Alligator mississippiensis: one gene and its partner. The protein of the gene in region 2 purifies or fractionates together with the protein of the main gene of each other region. This does not show direct contact. Links are inferred from orthologs where the notes say so. Each region holds a gene or a part of one and is shown on either strand. Other genes may lie near its edges.

The links.
Region 1: the proteins of CTTNBP2 (region 2) and STK26 purify together in Homo sapiens (affinity purification with mass spectrometry; 4 studies listed by BioGRID and IntAct, with this or other methods). This does not show direct contact. The link is inferred for Alligator mississippiensis from reciprocal best matches to the Homo sapiens genes CTTNBP2 and STK26.

Annotation. Positions count from the first base shown.
Region 1 is NC_081831.1:81,457,747-81,461,657, forward strand, and holds the start of STK26 (serine/threonine-protein kinase 26), read right to left. Parts: upstream 2,551-3,911; 5' UTR 2,536-2,550; coding exon 2,533-2,535; exon of another isoform or gene 1,987-2,532; coding exon 1,897-1,986; exon of another isoform or gene 917-1,896; intron 1-916. UniProt on the Homo sapiens protein: Serine/threonine-protein kinase that acts as a mediator of cell growth. Modulates apoptosis. In association with STK24 negatively regulates Golgi reorientation in polarized cell migration upon RHO activation.
Region 2 is NC_081827.1:48,423,696-48,427,606, forward strand, and holds the start of CTTNBP2 (cortactin-binding protein 2), read left to right. Parts: upstream 1-1,093; 5' UTR 1,094-1,201; coding exon 1,202-1,264; intron 1,265-3,911. UniProt on the Homo sapiens protein: Regulates the dendritic spine distribution of CTTN/cortactin in hippocampal neurons, and thus controls dendritic spinogenesis and dendritic spine maintenance.

The DNA of each region.
Region 1 (3,911 bases), on a different chromosome or scaffold from region 2:
GAGATGTCTCCTAAATTTCACATCCCTGCTCCAAACCATAGCCAGGGAGGGGAAGGTGAAGGGTAAGAGTTTCTCAATAGAATGCCTATAAAAGATGTGGTTTTCTAACAATTGCAATACAACTTCTTTTTTTTTTCTCCCAGCCTCGCTCTGAGCAACAGCTGAGCCATTTTAGCTGAAACTTAAATAAATAAAAAATATATATCAGCTCGAGGCAGATACCCACAATGGATAATTTCAACCCAAATGCTTCAAATTTGGCAAAGATATAGGCAACTGAAAACAGGGTTTAAAACAAGAGATGTCAAGTTGCTTTAGGTAGCTCTGCCTATAATAAAACAAACAGGCATTTATACCCGCTCCAGCAAATAAGCTTGTGCCAAATTCTCAGTTTTCTTTTCCTGAGAGGTTTTCTTTGTCACAAACGACTGTCTTTTTAGCAGGAAAAAAGCTGTGTATTGACCTTATTCAGGCATGCTATATTACAGATAAAGAAGGTGGAGAGGGAAAAGACTGGGGTGATTCAGTACGGTGACTAAACCTGTGACAAAGAGAATTACCAGACCAGAAGTTCAATGGTATACTTACCCAGTACTATTCACCTTCATCACAAGAGTATCCGTACTGCCATGAATTATGTATTTTAATACAGTATCTGTCTTAAGCTAATCTTCTGTAGATTAAATTCATTACAAAAAGGTCAGAAACTAGATAAAGCCACTGCCCAAAGGCATCTTATTAATATCTGTGTCTCATGTTCTGAACAGCCTTGGTAGGGAGGGAATGCTCTGAGTGTGACTGGAACAACAATACACACCCACTCTGGGTACAGCACATTAACAAAAGCTTAATTAATGCTAGATGATTTCAGTAGGCTGGTTGTAGATATGCACTAACGTCTTTCTTTGAATTGCAGTTTAACTCGAATCAAACAAATAGTGCAGGACATCAAGGATTCAGCTTCAAACTTCAGGAAACAAATGGATAGGTTGCGCCACAACAACAAAATGGGGTTTCTCAGCATAGGCATGCAGAATTGCCCTTTCCTGACACCCATGTCCACGGTATAATCCGTGCCAAACTACATTAACAACATAGCTGATAGATCCCAACATTTTTGTGACATGCAGTAGAGGTTTAATAAAAGAGCTACCAAATTAACAAGGGCCTTTTTTTTTTTTCGCAAGAAGTCTTTTTCTTCTTTTTTGCATTAAGTTCCCTTCTGCAGTGGTTGTGCACACAGGATGTTACACACAGTATTGGAAGCCAGGGCTCCAGGTTTCTGTGCCTGGCTCTCCCACTAATTTGTTGTATGGCCTTGGCCAATTCACTTATCCTTTCTGAGCTATTGCATGCCCAGCTGTAAACTGAAGGCAGTATTTACAGGATATCCTTCACTGGGAATCTTAGTTAATTTAGGCCCAAACCTGTACTATGCAATCCAATGGGAATTTAGAGATGGGAAATCTAGAGATTTGAGGTTCTCAGCTTAAAATTGTTATAGTCTCATTCCTGCTTACAACTTTATTTTCTAGTTTTAAAACAGACCCTTCCCCTCTTCCAATTTCCTTTTAAGAAGGAACCTGAAGTTTCAGCAGAGCGCTCTTTCGTGGAATACAAAAATAGCTTGACCACAGCAGTGGAAGGGGTGGAGGAAGTCTGCGAGAGGCCCTGCCACTCACCGTTATTCCTCCAGCATTTTGTTCCTGCATATCCATTTCTGTCTTCTTTTTTAATAAAACACATACTGTATTTATAGAATGATAAAACATTTCTATATAAGGCAGCAGCAACAGGAAGCTGGCTCGAAGCAGAATTCCTATGCTAAAAAAGCACCCATTCCAGGAAGGCACCACTTCCAAGTGGGATTTCTCCCACATACCAACCCATACCCACATGCAGAAGCAGAGCAGCAGTGTAACAGTGCTTTTCTCCGAGAGATGGTTGTCTGCCTGCGATCCAGCGGGTAGGAACGCTGATCCACTCCTGCAGGAAGAAGACAAGGCAGATAAGAGCCTAGAGGGGAAAAAAGGGCAGATGAGCCCGGAGGGAGGCAGCAGCAGTTAAAAATAGAGATGAAAAATGAGAGAAGAGAAGGAAGAAGAAAGCAGGGAGAAAACTAGGAGCACTAAGGAGAGAAAAGAAAGGGAACAAAGACAAAGGGAAACCATGCACCTAGGAATGAGAGCTCTTGACAGTCCCTGACAGGAGTAAGTACCCCACGAAGGGCGGAGGAAAGTGCAACGCCTACCCCTACATTTTTAGCATCCTGTCTCTATTGCTGTCAGTACAATTAAGGCATTTCTGGCCTATCACAGCCTGTTACACAGGGTTACTTCCAGGTAATGGACCACACAGAAAAGGGCTGGATTATTTGCGTTAAGGAAAGAAAGGTATAGGAGGGGGGAAGGAAGGGAAGAAAAAAAAAATTGAAGCCCAAGTAGAGTGGAAGGGGGATTGCTTTTCATTAACCGCTATAATGCCGCTAGTTTTCCAGAAAACATTTTGGTCGAGGCTCCCTCAGCTCCTTACCATCCCTACCAAACGTGGGCGCTCAGAAACTTCCAGCAGGCTTGGCTGTCTGTCTTGACCTCTCCTCTACACACCTCCAACCCTCCGTTTCCTTCTGAATCAGGCTCTGCTCTTGGGCCCGGGCTGCAGTTGGCTCCTACAGAGAAGTATTCGCACACGATGGCAGCCTGAGAAAAACGTTGAGAAGGAATTAAAGACATCTCTGTTGAAATAAACATCTGCTCTACGTTCTGTATCATGGCAACGGCGCTCACAAAAAGTATGGGCAGAACTCCAAGGGCTGCCTGGCAAATCCGGGCTATCCCTACCTGTTGAAAACAGGCTGAGAAAGCCGTTTCTGTGCTGGCGGAGCGTGGACGGCACTGCTCAGGAAGGCAACGGTTCCTTAAAGGAGGGACATGAGATTTCAACCGGGAGAACATGGCTGAGAAATCTGTTACCTCTTCAGTGACCCCACACAGGCCATAAAGAGATGAGGAGACTCCTGCATACAATATAATCCTTTTACATGCCTATCAGATAAACACATCCTCCTCCTCTCAACTGCATAACAGGAGACTGGTCCTGATCTGTTGCCTAGCACTTATACTGCAACAAACATCACTCATCTGCCTATCAAGCCCATGATTACTTAAGTGCATAGGAACGCTTTGCGCTTTTTTTGAGTTGATCTAATAAAAGATATCAGATTTACCCGAAGATCCTTGTCTACCTGTGTCCTTAGACCAACACGGCTACAACCTACACCCCTGGGAGCACCTTGCAAGCTTTTGGGCACAAACACCCTTCTTGCAAAGAACACATTTTCCTCGTTATTTAGTTGGTCTAATAAAAGATATCACATCTACCCAAAGACCCTTGTCTGCCTGCGTCCTTAGATCAACACGGCTGCAACCAACAACCCTACAGGACTCAACATTTTTTGGGAGATCAGTGGGGAAAACAAAAGAATTGTTTCCGCACCCAGCAGGTGATGATAAGGAGGGGAGCCTGCTGGCAAAACAGACTGAAGTATGCTTTTCCACTCTGAAAAAACCCCAGTCGCTTAAGGATGGATGTCTTCTTCCTCATCAGACCTGTTCTCTTCTGTGTATTTAGTCACGAACTAACAACTGACCTCTTCAACTCACTGACAAGAGTGTTTCTAGCTTTATGTTCGTTTCACTAAAGGGACTTGTTCTGTGCTCAACAGGGGACTGGCTTTCTACGTTCCAGGTGACTAACCTGGAGCCCTGGGCTTTTAAAACCCTGCAAACATTTTCACAGGGTGGGCTGTTACCCAAGACCCCTTAAAGAAGGAAACCCAGGGCATTCCTGAGAGAGGGAACAGAACCATTTTTGTCTTAGGTGTGACTGATCTTCCTCCCAGCAGTGATTAG
Region 2 (3,911 bases):
CCCAATGTCTCCACTGGCTGGACCTGGCTCATGGACATATGGTGCCAACACAGGGGTGAAATCATAGTCCCAGGCAAGCCGGTCCAAGGGTAATTGGTGCCTTAGGTGAACTGTGTACCCCGGTGCCCCCACCACCTCCAACACAGAGGAAAATAAGAAGTCTGGAATGAACCTTTATATGTACTTGTTTGATATTCAAAATGAACAATAAAACAATAAAAACATTTTTAATTGGTTTTCACACTTTTCATTAACCCTAACACAACTATACTGCAAAAACTCTAATAGGATTTACTATATTACATGTACAATTAAAAGACAGTCCTCATGAACATTACAAAATAAAACTTTGCTTTTTGTGCTTTCGGTTTCTGTGATTCAGAACGGCGTTCCTGTTGTTTTGTTCTGGATTTCATTTTGGCACCCTGGATGACCACCTAGTTTGCCTCACGGCTGGCCTGGCCCTGCTCCCAGTGATGGCAAAGGCAACCCACCTGGTCTTCCCAGGTGGGGGCACCTGTGCCGCAGGGCTCCTTCCCGCAGCCACATCAGATACTCAGAGGTTTGGAGCGGATGGAGAAGGCGGAGATGCTGCTGGGTTTTTTTAAAGGACTTACATGCATCCTCATCCAGCGCTTCTCAACCCTGTGAGACGCCTGTGGTGCCAAGGCCCAGCCCAGCCCCGCAGCCACGTGTCAGCCGCCCCTGCCTAGGCAGGGCAGGGCAGGGCCCGCATCCAGGCGCCTTTTGATCCCTTAGGTGCCGGCTCCTCGTGAGAGCCGAGGCACCCCCATGACTGGCGCATCCTCTGAAAAGCCCGGCTCTTGGGGGGGTCGGACTGCGGAGAAACAATAGAGGCGCTGCCCCGCGGCAGGGCCCGGCCCGGCAGCTCCGCGGGGCTGCGGATTCCTGTCGGAAACCCCTGGCTCGAGCCGCGAGCGCTGCGGCAGCCCGGGGGCGAGGGCGGCTCCCCGGCCCCCGCGCCCGGCAAACCCCGCGGGGCCCCGCAGCTCACGGCGGCGCGGGCAGGCGGCCGCTGGGGAGCCCCGGGCTGCCACCGGCCCCGCCCGCCTGCCAGCCCCGCCCCGTCCCACCCGGCCCCGCCCGCGCCCGCCGGCAGCGACGGGGTTAAGCGCCGGGCTGCGGCGGCGGCGGCGGCGGCTGCCACTCGGCTCCGCGCCGGGGCCGTTACAGCGGGAAGATGGCGACGGAGGGAGCGAGCGCCGAGCCCGGCTCTGGCGGCCAGGAGGACGCGGAAGCAGCGGTAACCGAGGCCGGGGCCGGGGCCGGGGCCGGGCAGGGGGGACGCGGGGCTGAGCTGGGGGCTTCGCCCGCCCCATTGTTCTGTGCGGGCGGGGGGGGTGAGTGCGGGCCCCGCGGCTGCCCCGCACGACGCTGCCGGCCCGGGGCCGCTTCTCGTGCTGCTGCTCCTGCCCCGCGCCCCGGCACCTCAGGCGAGCCGGGACTTCCCTCGCTGCAGGGAGCCCCCTGCCCGCTTGCATTTATTTTCTTGTGACGGGCTCCCGTCAGCTCTGAGGGGGCAGTGGTTGTTTTTTTTACAAAAACACATCCACGTCCAGGCAGGTTTGCACAGACGTCCCTTCAGTCGTGCAGCCCTGAATCCTCTCCCGGCAAGCGAATGTAGGCGAGGATGTACCTGGCCATATTTTTTCCCTGTCTAAACTAACAAAAATCTTGGGGGCAAAAATAAAATAAAATAATTTAGGGATATGCTCTGGGAATTTTTTTTGCTCTAGGGATACACGGGTTTAGGTGGATGGAATCAAAAGGTTGGGAATGCGAGGACGGCTGTGTCGAGGTACTCGGAGTATATTTTCCAGAATAGGGAGCAAAACTAAAGCCAGTTAGTTAGGCCCATAAATGAGCCTAACTTCAGGCAACCTTTTCTTTAAGAACCAGGGCTTTGCATCCTGCCGACTTGCCAAAGATCCCTCCAGTATTTCAACCCCTTGTCCTTATTCTTCCTTTTTAGTATTCCTTTAATAATAATAATAATAATAACTGTTACAGATTTGGGGTTCTTTCTCCCTCTGAAAGAATGAAAAGAGACTATTGCTTATTTTAAAAGGAATCAATGCAGTTTTATGATGCATGGAAAAACCAGCCATTGGATTGTTTTGGGGCTATTGCCAGGCACCAGCTTAATTTATAGCCTAAAGCTCAGTGAAATTTCCAGTGGAGGATTTTAAAATTCAAGTGGACGCTTCTTAGTTGTTGGGATTGTTAACGGCTAGAGGGTGCAACGAACACTGTCTTGGACATAGAGTCAGTTGATACACAGTTGTCTTCTGCTACAATATTAAGTCAACAGTTTGGTCTAACAGTGGTATTGTCAGGGCATGATGATAAATGCTGTTTTCCTGGCATCTTAGTACAGCATCAGTAATACTTCGGGGGGGGATCTTTTGGCTGTTGCTTGGCTGCTCCTGAAAATGTAATGAAATAGGACTTTCACAAATGGTCTTGCTATTTACTGTCGCTAAGGAATTTATAACTGAAAAAGAGTAGAATATTCTTTCGTGTGCTGTACTTGGGAGGAAGCCAACATTCTTGTCATTCTGAGCTTTCTTGGTTCAAGTACAGCAGTTATGCCAAAAAAGAGAGATCCCACCAAAAAAACTTGGTATACTGTGTTACCATGGTAATAATGATAGGAGAAACTGGAGGAGACTAGCTCTGATGCCGCTGTCGCACCTGTGCAGCCCTTCCTGATTTGTACCAAAGCCAGTGGAATTTCATCAGCATGAGGCCAGTGTAATTTGCGGTAGGTTGGGGTGGGGAATGGGAAGTACTGTGCATTGACCTCCACCTGCATGATATCAACTAACAATGATTATATAATAGCAAGAAATGATCCAACATGTCAGTCTCTTTGTTGATATATGGGGGCAGCAGCCTGTGATGCAAAGAAAGCTGCGTTGACAGATGTGGTAGCCTAGGAGAGTATATAAAGAGGATGCTGTAAAAAGCTCCACTCTTTCTAACTGCTTTGTCTATGGTAAAATTAATTAGTGAAGGACTGCTCTGTTGTGTTTGTTTGTTTTTTTTTTGTTCAATGTGTATCTGATATCTGGAAATGGTAGCCAGCATTTTGTATCTTTTGAATTGCTTTTTGAAACTGTGCAAAAGATATCTAAGACTTAGTCTTGGTCTCTGAAGTCAGTGGGAATTTTGCCTTTGACAGCACTGAAACCATGATTTCACCCAGGGATGGGCAACAAATGGCCATGAGCCAGATCTGGTCAGTGGAGCCACTGGATCTTGTCCACAAAGTCTTAGAGCTTTGCCTATGCCTGCATCTGTGTGCTGAAGCTAAGCAAGGAAGAACTGCATGGGGGCTGGGCAACTTTCAGCTGCAGCCTGCCACTACTTCTCCTCTTCCCTCACCACCCCCATCCCATCTGAATGGCTTAAGCATCCCTCCTGCTCAGCGTATTCTTAAGCATCTATCTCTCCCTGTGCATTGTACTGGGCAATGCATGCTAACTTTGGCATGTGAAATCTATTTTGGGCACTGGTGCCTGAAATTGAGGAATGACAACATTCAGAACCACCAGTCCTAAGTCCCTTTGTAAATTTGTTCAGTGCTTCGAAACTGATACCAAAATCTCCTCCTTGGTTTCTGCCTAAAGCCTAACCCACCATAGTGGCAGGTGCTATCCTCTAAGGATATGCCTCTATTAGTGCTATATTACAAAAAAATAGTGTTTTAATGTTAATCTTTGCATTGTTACTGAATTTATTGATGGGAGGGTTGGAACTTAGATGGTTTTATAAAGTTTTTGGGCCACAATTTATAAGGAAGGTAAAGGTATGAAAAAACTACCACTAAAAGGGTTAAGGACAATAAAAAGGCATTCTTTAAATGTGTTGGGAACGAACTAAAACTA